2 linked regions of the Caenorhabditis elegans genome follow. The protein of the gene in region 1 purifies or fractionates together with the protein of each later gene. This does not show direct contact. Each region holds a gene or a part of one and is shown in the gene's direction. Other genes may lie near its edges.

Region 1 (6,810 bases):
AGTTTCTAAATATGAGTTGCGGCAGTAGGGTCAGACTCAGTTTTATACCTGCGATTCAGTATAATCAGATTTTATAAACAGAAAAAAATACCACAGTTGTTTTTTTTCATTTTTCACTGTTCTATTTGAGTAATTTATCAAAACGATAAGATAAAGAGTGCTAAATTCATCACTAATGCAAATAATACACAAAAGTCGAAATAATATGTTACATAAAAAAAGTTCAAAAATTGTCTGCTTGCGATATTACAGATTATCTTTTTTGAAATTTTGAATACTTACCGGATCAACGAGAACATTGGAAGTCAATATCACTCCGTACTTTCCATTGCCCCATTTGTCATAAATATTCAAAATAGTGTCAGTTGGAAGCCCATGCTTCTTTGGTTCATTTGGAGCATAAGTGGACTGAATTTCTGTCAATGCTGCCTTCAAAAATCGATTCTGGGCTTCTGGACCATTTCGAAACTTAAGGCGATCACCAAGAATAGTAGAAGAGGCAGAGGTTGTCGAGGTGGGAAAACGTTGGGGAGACATTTTTCTGATTGCATCTCTCAATTCTAATTCTTTATATAACCCTGGCCTACGTTTGCTACAATTTTGATACGGACAGTCTATTTACCCTTATCAGTTTGTGACGATTGTAGTTAAGTTGAGTCTTCGTAGCGAGAGGATTGAAAACATTCGAAAATTGATGGTAAAATGTGAACGAATATTTTGTTCCGAATATTCAGAAATTCTACAAAAACACAGAATTTGAAAGGCACCTTAGATTTCTACTAGAATTTTGCAAAAAGGGAAATTAGCAAACTGATGCCAAGCGAATAAGTAATACGTCATTGGGTCGCTTTGAGCAGTCCCGCTTTACCTGTGCAAAGTCATTTAATTTCATAATTTTTATACCATGTTCCCACGTGTAGTTTCTTTTTTTAATTGTTTGCTTCTTCTTAACATATATTGAAAATTTAGCTTCTATTCAATAAAATTTCAATTGTTCAATGCTTCACAATAGGGTTGCTTGATAGCGAAAAATGTTTGGGTTCAATTTTTGCCGGGCGTACCCAGTTTTGTCAAATTTATATACATTTTGCCAAAAAAAAATGTTTTAAAGCGTTTTCTGTCAATTTTATGTTTAAAAGTTCAAGATCAACACACAACAATTCTTGTTAACTCTCCAATTTCCTTATTCAAGTTGCTTTCTCTCTCTCTCTATCCCGTTTCCCTCCGTTTCGTTTCGTTTCAGCTCTCCTTGACAACCACACCAGCGCACTAATGAGCGCCATGGCGAAGCAAAGAGCATGTGAGTGTGAGCCGAGAGACCGATTCGCATTCCCCTTGTCTTTTTTGCGGGTGCTAAGGGGCTTCATGGCTAATAACGTTTTTAGTCGAGAGCTAGAATGGGCGGTGTAGACATTTTTCAAGTAATGATATGCATTGCGGTAGCACCAACAGTGAATTTTTTTTTGAATATATGCCTTTTAATGTTCAATTTTTGATTTTCGTTAAATATTTTTCTAGTAGCTTATCAAGCATAATAAGCAGTTTCAGTTGTCTTGTTTTTTGTTTTTGCCGGCACAAAACATGTGAAAAAATAATGGCGCCTGTTTGTGCCTGATTTAGAATTTTTTTTGTTTTTTTTTTTGACAATTGTTAATGAAAAATTATAATTTTTGTAACGCACGTGGTGTCAGAGTGTCTCATTTCGGCTTGATCTACGTAGATCTACAAAAAACGCGGGATAGGAGACGCAGAGTTCTCAACTGAGTTTATATGGTTAAGAACGTTCCCGCATTTCATGTAGATCAAATCGTGATGGGATAGTCTGGTACTACGTGCTTCCGTTTCTTATAACTTTTTTATTTAAATTTTTTTCAGACTTTCCAAGGCTTGAATGGTGCAAAACTTTACGCAATCCGCCTATCTAAACCAGTGTGTTTCAACAGAAGACTTTTCAGTTTCATTTGTAAAATCTGAGAATGATGACGTGGCCACTAGGATTCGAGATAAAACAGAGATTTCAAAATCGAACAGAACACAATTTCCTGGAACATCGCCATTTGAAAAATTAACAGTGTAAGTCGCCCAAACCTGTCCAGGGAAGGCGTTGGGCACTAGCTGAGATTTCCACCTCCACATATCTGTATTTCCAGATGGTTCCAATCCTTAATGTCTCGACAAAGAGCCTTACACTCTCGCACAGTCCGTATCGGATATGGACCAATTGATCACGATTCGCCACGAACCTTTCCACCAAACACTGTCCGCAATCAAAAATACAATATTTTCAGTTTCGTACCAGTTGTGAGTTTTACCGTATTTTGTCGACTTATACAAAAAAATCAACAAAATTTTCCAGGTCTTATTCCAAGAGTTCAAATTTTTCCTGAATCTTTACTTCCTCATAATGGCGTTTTCCCAACTTGTGCCAATTTTCAAAATAGGCGCACTCGTCACGTACTGGTTCCCGCTTGGCTTCATCCTTACTATAACTCTGATTCGAGAAGCTATCGAAGATTTCGCCAGATTTTTACGAGACCGAGAACTGAATTCGGAAAAGTACGAGAAGCTGACAAGGGACGGAACACGAGTGGAGATCAAAAGTGCTGATATAAAAGTTGGAGATGTCATAGTTATGCACAAAGATCGACGAGTTCCTGCAGATGTTGTGTTGCTGAGAACTTCTGATAAATCAAGTTCATGCTTCATACGAACCGATCAGTTGGACGGAGAGACGGATTGGAAGCTGAAAATTCCAATTCCATTCACTCAACATTTGGCCAATGAATCAGAAATTATGGAGTTGAACTGTGAAGTTTACGCCGAGAAGCCGCAGAAGGATATTTATAGTTTTGTGGGTACAGTGAAGGTACGGGGGGCTTAATTTTACGGGATATTTTATTGTAAGTGCGCAGCCGTCAACTCACACGTTAAAAATTCAGATAACCGCCGACGACAAAATCCACGAAGGATCCTTGGATGTTGAGAACGTCCTGTGGGCGAATACGGTAGTTTCGTCTGGTACTGCTATTGGGGTTGTGGTTTACACCGGGTGTGAGACCAGATCTGTTATGAATACTACGGTACCTGAATACAAAGTTGGACTTCTTGATTTGGAAATCAACAATCTCACAAAGCTGTTGTTCTGTTTTGTACTTCTCCTAGCGTCGGTGATGGTTTTAATGAAAGGTATGGTTTAGGGGTAGCAAAAGTTTTTTGAAATCTGATCTACTTTTCCCGCTTTCAGGCCCAACCTCACTTTGGTATCTGTACCTTGCTCGCTTCATACTCCTATTCTCCTATATCATTCCAATATCCCTCCGCACCAATGTCGATATGGCTAAGCTCTTCTACTCGTGGCAAATTGGCCATGACCATCATATTCCTGAAACAGTAGTTAGGTCATCAACAATTCCTGAGGAGTTGGGAAGAATCTCATTTTTGCTGTCGGACAAGACAGGGACATTGACGAAAAATGAGATGCATTTCAAAAAGATTCACCTGGGAACTGTTGCGTTCAGTGGTGATGCGTTGGAGGAAGTCGAGCAACATGTTAAAAGTGCATATGACAGTGCGCTTGTGAAGTTAGTTTTTTTTAAATGTGTTACACACAAATCCTAAATTAGTTCCCGCCCGACATCTACCGGGTTCCGCGCCGCTCTATGTTTAAAATGTTGTGGGTGTTGACCACAGCGAGGCGAACATAGTGCGGCGCGGAACCCGGTAGATGTCGAGACATGGGAGCAGGCTTAAATTTTGGAATTTGTGCGTCCAAGATAAAATCTTTCAGACACCCATTCTCTGCGAAACTGAAAAACGCTGTCGAATCACTTGCCCTCTGTCACAACGTCACACCTGTTCTGGAAAACGGAGAGCTATCCTACCAAGCCGCAAGTCCTGATGAAGTTGCACTCGTGAAATGGACAGAAACCGTCGGTGTAAAACTTGCTCACCGAGATCTTCATACAATGACTCTAGACGTCCAACCTTCAAATGGCACGACAGTTCCAATACAGTTTCAAATTCTACACGTATTTCCTTTTACATCTGAGCGAAAACGAATGGGAATAATAGTCAAAGAAGAGACATCCGGTGAAGTAACTCTCTACATTAAAGGAGCCGATACTGTGATGAGTGACATGGTGCAATACAACGATTGGCTCGACGAAGAGTGCACGAATATGGCGAGAGAGGGTCTCCGAACTCTAGTTTTCGCTAAGAAAATCTTATCTCGCGCTGAGTTGGAGGCGTTTGATCAGGCCTACCATGCGGCTAAAATGTCGATAACTAATCGCACACAGAACATGGCAAATGTGGTGAAGAATATGTTGGAGAGAGATTTACAGCTGATTTGCTTGACAGGAGTGGAAGATCGGCTGCAAGATCAGGTTACAACCTCTCTCGAACTTTTGCGAAATGCCGGGATCAAAATCTGGATGCTCACCGGAGACAAGCTAGAGACCGCAATTTGCATTGCAAAATCTAGTGGACTTTTCTCGAAATCCGATCATATCCACGTGTTTGGAAGTGTACAAACCAGAACAGATGCTTACAATGAGTTGGATAACCTGCGAAACAAGACAAATATAGCGCTGGTGATGCCTGGATCCTCTCTCAACATATGCCTTCAATATTATGAAGAAGAAGTCGCCGAACTCGTTTGCGCGAGCACAGCCGTGGTGTGCTGCCGATGCTCCCCAGAGCAAAAGGCACAAATTGTGCAGCTGCTCCGAAAATATCGAGCTCCATTGAGAGTCGCTGCCATAGGTGATGGAGGAAACGATGTGTCGATGATACAAGCGGCTCATGCTGGAATCGGTATTGACGCGAATGAAGGAAAACAGGCTTCACTTGCCGCAGATTTTTCGATCACACAGTTTTCGCATATTTGCCGATTGTTGTTGGTGCATGGAAGGTTCAGCTACAAGCGGTCATGCACATTGGCTCAGTTTATAATGCATCGGTGAGTTTACTTGGCGGCGGGCGGCGGCGGGCGGCGGCGGCCGACAGCGGGCGATAGCGGGCGACTGCGGGCGGCGGCGGGCAACAGCGGACGACAGCGGCCGACAGCGGGCGACAGCGGGCCATATCGGGCCATAGCGGGGACAGCGGGCCATAGCGGGCCATAGCGGCCGACAGCGGGCGACAGCGTCCGACAGCGGGCGACAGCGGGCGACAGCGGGCGACAGCGGGCGACATGTGGGCGACATCGGGCTTAGCGCCTAGTGTCCTCCGTTATTTGCAGGATGTCTCCCGGTGTTGCCCATTATCGCCCGCAATACCAATTTTGCTCTTTTAATTTCCAATAATAGTTCAAATTACAGCGGTCTCCTCATCTCAATAGTACAAGCCATATTCTCCTGTGTATTCTACTTCGTCGCCGTCTCCTTATATCAAGGTGTTTTGATGGTCGCCTTCACATCATGCTATACCCTTCTACCAGTGTTCTCCCTGATTGCCGACCGTGACGTCACCGCCACAAATGCGCTAACATATCCGGAGCTGTACAAGGAGTTGGTGAAAGGAAGAACGTTATCTTACAAAACATTTTTTATTTGGGTTTTTATATCGATTTATCAAGGTTTGTAACAGACTAATATTGGGGAATTGTAGTATTTTTTCATTTTATTTTTTTAGGTGCGGTAATAATGTACGGTGCACTACTAATTTTCGATACAGACATTCTGCATATTGTCTCAATTTCTTTCTCAGCTCTAATCGCAACTGAGCTTATCATGGTAGCCTTGACAGTGCATACCTGGCACTGGTTGATGCTAGTTGCTCAGGTATGTCCAAAGTAAGTAGTCAAACTGGAGTACTTTTTTTACAGGCTCTATCGCTAGGACTCTACGTGGTGTCCTTGATAACCTTAGATCAGTTTTTCGATCGGAAATTTGTATTTTCATGGGTCTTCATCACCAAAACCACAGCTATCACTGTAGTTTCCTCTCTCCCATTGTATTTTATCAAAACTTTACGGCGGAAGTTTTCACCGCCTAGCTTTGCCAAAGTCAAATGATATATCTACCGAGTGCTCGTCTATTAGACATATATTTTTTCCGGTTAATTTCAGAAAGAAATAATCATATCAGAACATGTTTCATTTTTCCGTGATTTTCTGTAATACAGTTTGAATAATTAGTTTTCCGATTTGAATAATAAAAAATTGATTTTCCATTAAACAATTAATTAGTTATAAACTGTCTAGTGCTCCCATGAGGTCGTCGCAACGGCGCCTCCGCCGGCCTCGCGGTGTCGGCGTGACGCCGGCAGGCGTGAGGCCCGCATTTCGCGCCTCTCTCAGCTGGAGCCCTAAAACTGTCAAAACAAACTAATATTTACTCACCGACCTACTGATAAGATGACTGTAATATTACGTATTATAATGTTTTGTGGCAACAGGAAAAAACAATGTCAAAAGAATCTTTCGATATTATTTTACATCAGTTATAGCGTTTCAGCTATTCTGTTTTCATGATTCAGAGGTCAATATTTCACTTCTATCTCAATATTCTACTTATAGCATGTGTCACTGTAGTCGGTCTAACCTATTTTTACTCTAACTATTGTTCTAACAATTTGAATTCGAGAGAAAGATACAGGTTAGGCGTTTAGGTGATATGTCGTAACTGTTATATAGTTTTAGACTGCATTCTGCAATCCAGCCTGTAGCTGAAATTAGGCCAGGTAACAAATGGATAGTGGTCACAAGTATTAGCTTACCAACGGAAGATGTCAAGGTAATGTTCAAAGTGAAATTGTCAAAAAAAAGAACCCGCAAGATGTCTGCCGCTCCAATTGTATACAGCAAAA
Region 2 (5,022 bases), on another chromosome or scaffold:
AAGTCTTGAAGATCGAATGGAATCGTTTTTCTTATCAGAAACATTAAAGTATTTATACTTGTTGTTCGATGTAGATCATCCAATTAACAAGGAACAGCAAGAAAGTGTTCTTTTTTCAACAGAGGTATGAATATTGCTGATCTAGGAATTCTTACTTACAATTAGAAAAGTAATTTCAGGGTCACATATTTCCAATATCCCCGCTGTTCAATCTGCCTCCTACTCCGCCATCTCAATATGATCCACCTCTCAAACCATTGCCACGTACCAACTCATCATTTTGCGAAACTGCCACAGACTTCACTTTTGGAACCCCACCACTTCGTCATTCTCAAATGCGTGAATTGTTCAAAGTTATTGGAGTTGATTCGGTTCTTCACGATTGGTTATAATTTATTTGTACTATTGCATATCTGATTTCTTGTTGCCTTATATTTTATGTGGTTTTAGTTCTGTGATAGCAATATTTTTTTTCCGGTTAGCATTAAAATATATGAATTTCAATGATCTAGAAATAAATCAAAAGAAGATAGAATAATGAAATCATATGTTTACATTCTACTAAAATCAATAAGAGTTTAAGTTTTACCAACAATTATGACACATCGTTTGTGATTTGTAATCAGTGTAATACAATGGCGAATGGAGAAACCGAGAGGTATTGATAAGAGAAGACTGCTCACAGAGCAAAAACAAGTCCAAGCGGTTTTCAATATTAGATTCTCCTCCCAGAAGTGTTCTTTGATTGATCTTTCAGTGATGGTCGTTTCTTGATGGGCCTCGTGTTGATCGCCAAACGAAACAAGCCGCTGATCGCGATGATGGCTGCTATACTTTTCACAGTCGCTGTATTTTTGGCTACGAGGTTTGTTGCATTCGACTGTTCCTATTTGGTGGTTTTCAAATGCAAATTAATATTTAGCATATTTTCTCAACTGTCTGGGATTTTTATTTTATTTTTATGCGTTCAGACTTAAATATTTCACTGTTACCGTAGCTGAGGGTTGCGTCTGCATTTTCATGTAGTTTGTGGTGTGATGTGTGTGTACACTGCTATATTTTCGTAGGCCTATTTTTTACAAATTGCTGCGCTGGCAATGCTATTCTTGTTTTGTTTTTATCTTAATCAAATTTTTAGTTATTTTTTATACATATTAATTCTCAAAAATGTATTCAGTATTTGTAAAATTATCTGCTAAGAGTGATTAAATACATTGATCAATACTGAGTGGAGTTATTTATTAGGAACATCAACGATTAATTTTATTTTTTCTGCGTTTTTCAAGCTACATATTATTGCGATAAGGAAATTGAAAATGCATGTCTTCCATAACTTTTATCCGTGCCATTGAACAAGAAGCCATTTATCACCAAACATGCGAAGAGCCTTTTAGACAAGAAAATTAGCTTGTGCAAATTTATTTTAAACCTCTATTGAGTTGATGTTATCTATATTGAGATGTTCAAAAATTTCATGACTGAAATTAGGATTTCTTTTGGGCCCAGGTGAGAGTTTTTTATGCTGATTGTTTTGAGCCACAGGGTTTAGATAATCGTTGAATGATATTATCCTGCCTTATGTTTCAATTTTCAATTTAATCTTGCTTCTATCATGACGACATAACCAAATCCACACATATCACCAACTGCTTGAAAATGTGCATGCGCCACAGCGTCTCTCGTGTTTTCCGCATATATCTCACAAATGTCTGTAGTTGTCCTCATCTCTTCCTAGATGATACTGAGCTGTCGAAGTGTGGCCACGGCGAGAGGATTTTTGTTATCAACTCGTCTTATTATGGGCTGTGCCGTGAGCCAAGAAAGCGCCATCGCCACTGTCTCGTCATCTTCAAACACTGCAACAACATCCACCAGCAGTTCAAATACTTCACAGAAATGGGCCACTTCAAGGACATCGCGTCCAGTTACAAACGTCACACAGGCAAGACTGATGAGTATTGTTCTAGTTTTATTTTGGTTATGTGTAGGTTTCTGCGATTCACACCACTTCAATGGATTCCGGCAGCTCAACTGTCCAATTACCTTCTCCTCGTGGCAGTCTTACCACAGCCGTCTCCACCTCTTCTTCGGGAGCTCAACGACAAATGTCAGCCAATTCGGAGAGGAGTCTGCACACGAGGTTGCGTGTTGATGTTTCTTCCTTCTTGTGTCTGTGTCGTTTTTAAGGGAGGATAACGTTTTATATAATCCTTATTGATGTTTTCTATCACTTTCTAATAACTCACATCCATTGGTAGAGCGGAAAAGAAAAGAAAACAATTATTTAATCTAAATCTGGGTCATGCTCGAATCGCTGCTAGATCTTATATTGAGAAAAAACGTAGTTTAAAAATATTTAACCCTTCTCCAAAACTTCAGTTTGTCCAGCAGCCCCTTGTAGATGAAGTGTAGGCGTACTAAACTTTACCCCGTCACCTCACATTGCAAACGGGCGGTGTCAGCTGATAAGACTAGTCCGTCACCAAATGCTCAAAGAATAAAGAAATGTTGCCTATAATTATGTAACATACTTTTCAAAGATGCCAGTACACATGCTTATAAAATGACACTTTGTGTTTGGAAATTTATTTTCAAGTTGCTTTATTGTCTTTATTTGAATTCGCATTTTAAATTCTGGCGTATTTTTTTTTTAAACTTTTAACGTGAAAACTTTTGCAAATCCACGTTTTAATAGTTTCGAGTGGCAAAATGTTTAAAGATTAGTTTAACAAAAACCTTGTGAAAAATGTTCTCTTGGCTCTTTTGCGGTCGTTGTTTCCGAAACCCAAACAAGTTTGTTATACTTATAATTGGCTGTTATGAGTGTAGAAGTGTTTTCATGATAGCATCTAATTCCACTCGCAAACACATGTAGTTTTCAATATTCGCATTATTATTATTTTTCAGGCCCTTGTCGGAGACTGCTGTCATTTTGCAAAGTCAAGCTGTGAAAATGAGCACCGGAGCCGGAGATTCAGCAGTTTACGAAGCCGTCGAGCGTGGATCTCTTTATAGTTTGGATTATAGAGTTTATATCAGTGAGTCGAAGCTGCTATAATTATTGGTTCTAATATCTATTTTGCAGAGGGACCACAAGGAATCGTATCTCCTTGGCACGATATTCCATTGTTCGCCAACAAGGACAAGAGAGTTTACAACATGATTGTTGAGATTCCACGTTGGACAAATGCTAAAATGGAAATGGCCACCAAGGAACCATTCTCGCCAATCAAGCAAGATGAGAAGAAGGGTGTAGCTCGCTTTGTTCACAACATTTTCCCACACAAAGGATACATCTGGAACTACGGAGCTCTTCCACAGACATGGGAAGATCCAAACCATGTTGTTCCTGACACTGGAGCTAAAGGAGACAATGATCCAATTGATGTTATTGAAGTTGGATCAAAGGTTGCCGGACGGGGAGCTGTTCTGCAAGTAAAAGTTCTCGGAACATTGGCTCTCATTGACGAAGGAGAGACCGATTGGAAATTGGTCGCAATTGATGTCAACGATGAGAATGCTGACAAGTTGAATGACATTGATGACGTCGAAAAGGTTTATCCTGGACTATTGGCTGTAAGTTTCGATTAAACATTTTTCAAAATACGTTTCATTTTTTTTCTTTCAGGCATCTGTTGAATGGTTCCGCAATTACAAGATTCCAGCAGGAAAACCAGCCAACGAGTTCGCTTTTAATGGAGAGTTCAAGAACCGAGAATACGCGGAGAAAGTCATCGATGAGACCAACGAATATTGGAAGACTCTCATCAAGGAAGCAAACCCATCCTTGAACACGTAGGGATTTCATCGCTTTTAATATTCTAAACTTCAAATTTCAGAGTCTCTCGGGTTCCAGAAGCTGTTCACCAAGGAACTGATGAAGCGGCCGCAACTGCCATTGGCGCTACCCCAGAACATGGAGCAAATGCTCCACTACCAGGAGATGTTGATAAGTGGCATTTTGTGCAAGGATGACTAGTACGCCCTGGAAGCCGTGAAGCATCTTCAAAACTTTAAATTTATTGCACTGTCGCTCCCTGAAATTATACTGACTCCCTCATTCTCTTGTTTTGTTCCAACGTATTTGATTATTTGATTCCTTTAATTTTATATTGTTTTTTTCATTATTCGAAAAACTTTTAAAAATTGAATTGGGGATCTTCTCTGTTTATGTATGTGATGTTTTCTTTTTGGTTTACCACCATACGTGAATTATTTGTCAAATCCAAACAGATCTTTTAAATTCAAAGTTCCTTTGGAAAAAGCAGTGAGCAGAGTCAGCACGAACTCGATAAACAGAAGAAACAATTTAAATTTTGAAAATGCTGATTTCAAACATATACGAACGAACTTTTAAAAATACATTAGAAATATCGAGAAATTTCTTTCGCAAAAAAGGAACACAAACACTACGAGACGACGATAGCGATGTTTTTATGTCAAAGAAGAAAAATGCAAAAGCGCTCTATTTTACTGCTAATATTTCTATGAGAAACTTGGCGCCATTTTCCACTTATGTTCCTTTTTCTTCATTTCGCAAGCGCGCCACTTTTTTCAAATGAAAATCAATAATTTCATCCTTCTAGAATCTTCCACAAACAGTTTGTTTCGCATTTTTTCGAAACGTGCAGTGGTTAAAAATCATTCGCTTTTCAATCTCAATTCTCGCCGAAAGCTCATCATCAGATTCTTCTCTTTTAAGCCACCATTATTCGAACTGCATCAGTTTTCATCAATTAAAAACTATTTTCAGTGGTTCTGATCTTTCGTGATTAATGACTACCATCCTTGAGCTAACATCGGCCAACAAAACTAACAACAAGGCCACCAATAACAAGCTGCAGCGTGAAGGAGAAAACGAATATCCTCCGGCGAAACGATCCAAGACTGACGACGAAGAAGAACCAACAGTCGTAGGAAACGGAACGATCGTCGGAGCGCCAAAGCAGCAAACACTTTCTGGGGTCAATGTAAGTTGAAATGGAAAACTATTTTTAAAAAATCTGAATTAACAATTTTTAA

The links.
Region 2: the proteins of tat-6 (region 1) and pyp-1 fractionate together in Caenorhabditis elegans (co-fractionation; one large-scale study listed by BioGRID). This does not show direct contact.

Annotation. Positions count from the first base shown.
Region 1 is NC_003283.11:3,127,234-3,134,043, forward strand, and holds tat-6 (Phospholipid-transporting ATPase), read left to right. Parts: upstream 1-1,869; 5' UTR 1,870-1,891; coding exon 1,892-2,073; intron 2,074-2,150; coding exon 2,151-2,301; intron 2,302-2,356; coding exon 2,357-2,866; intron 2,867-2,939; coding exon 2,940-3,186; intron 3,187-3,244; coding exon 3,245-3,581; intron 3,582-3,787; coding exon 3,788-4,960; intron 4,961-5,321; coding exon 5,322-5,578; intron 5,579-5,634; coding exon 5,635-5,783; intron 5,784-5,827; coding exon 5,828-6,016; 3' UTR 6,017-6,179; downstream 6,180-6,810. Other genes in the region: Y73C8C.10 (NADH:flavin oxidoreductase/NADH oxidase N-terminal domain-containing protein), read right to left, coding at 283-537; F02C9.2 (uncharacterized protein), read left to right, coding at 6,472-6,599, 6,644-6,737.
Region 2 is NC_003282.8:9,994,677-9,999,698, reverse strand, and holds pyp-1 (Inorganic pyrophosphatase 1), read left to right. Parts: upstream 1-1,735; coding exon 1,736-1,942; intron 1,943-1,988; coding exon 1,989-2,140; intron 2,141-2,907; coding exon 2,908-3,038; intron 3,039-3,085; coding exon 3,086-3,576; intron 3,577-3,628; coding exon 3,629-3,795; intron 3,796-3,839; coding exon 3,840-3,975; 3' UTR 3,976-4,314; downstream 4,315-5,022. Other genes in the region: C47E12.3 (alpha-1,2-Mannosidase), read left to right, coding at 1-124, 180-392; uba-1 (E1 ubiquitin-activating enzyme), read left to right, coding at 4,776-4,970. UniProt on the Caenorhabditis elegans protein: Catalyzes the hydrolysis of inorganic pyrophosphate (PPi) forming two phosphate ions. Plays a role in intestinal development and subsequent normal secretory, digestive and absorption functions. Required for larval development.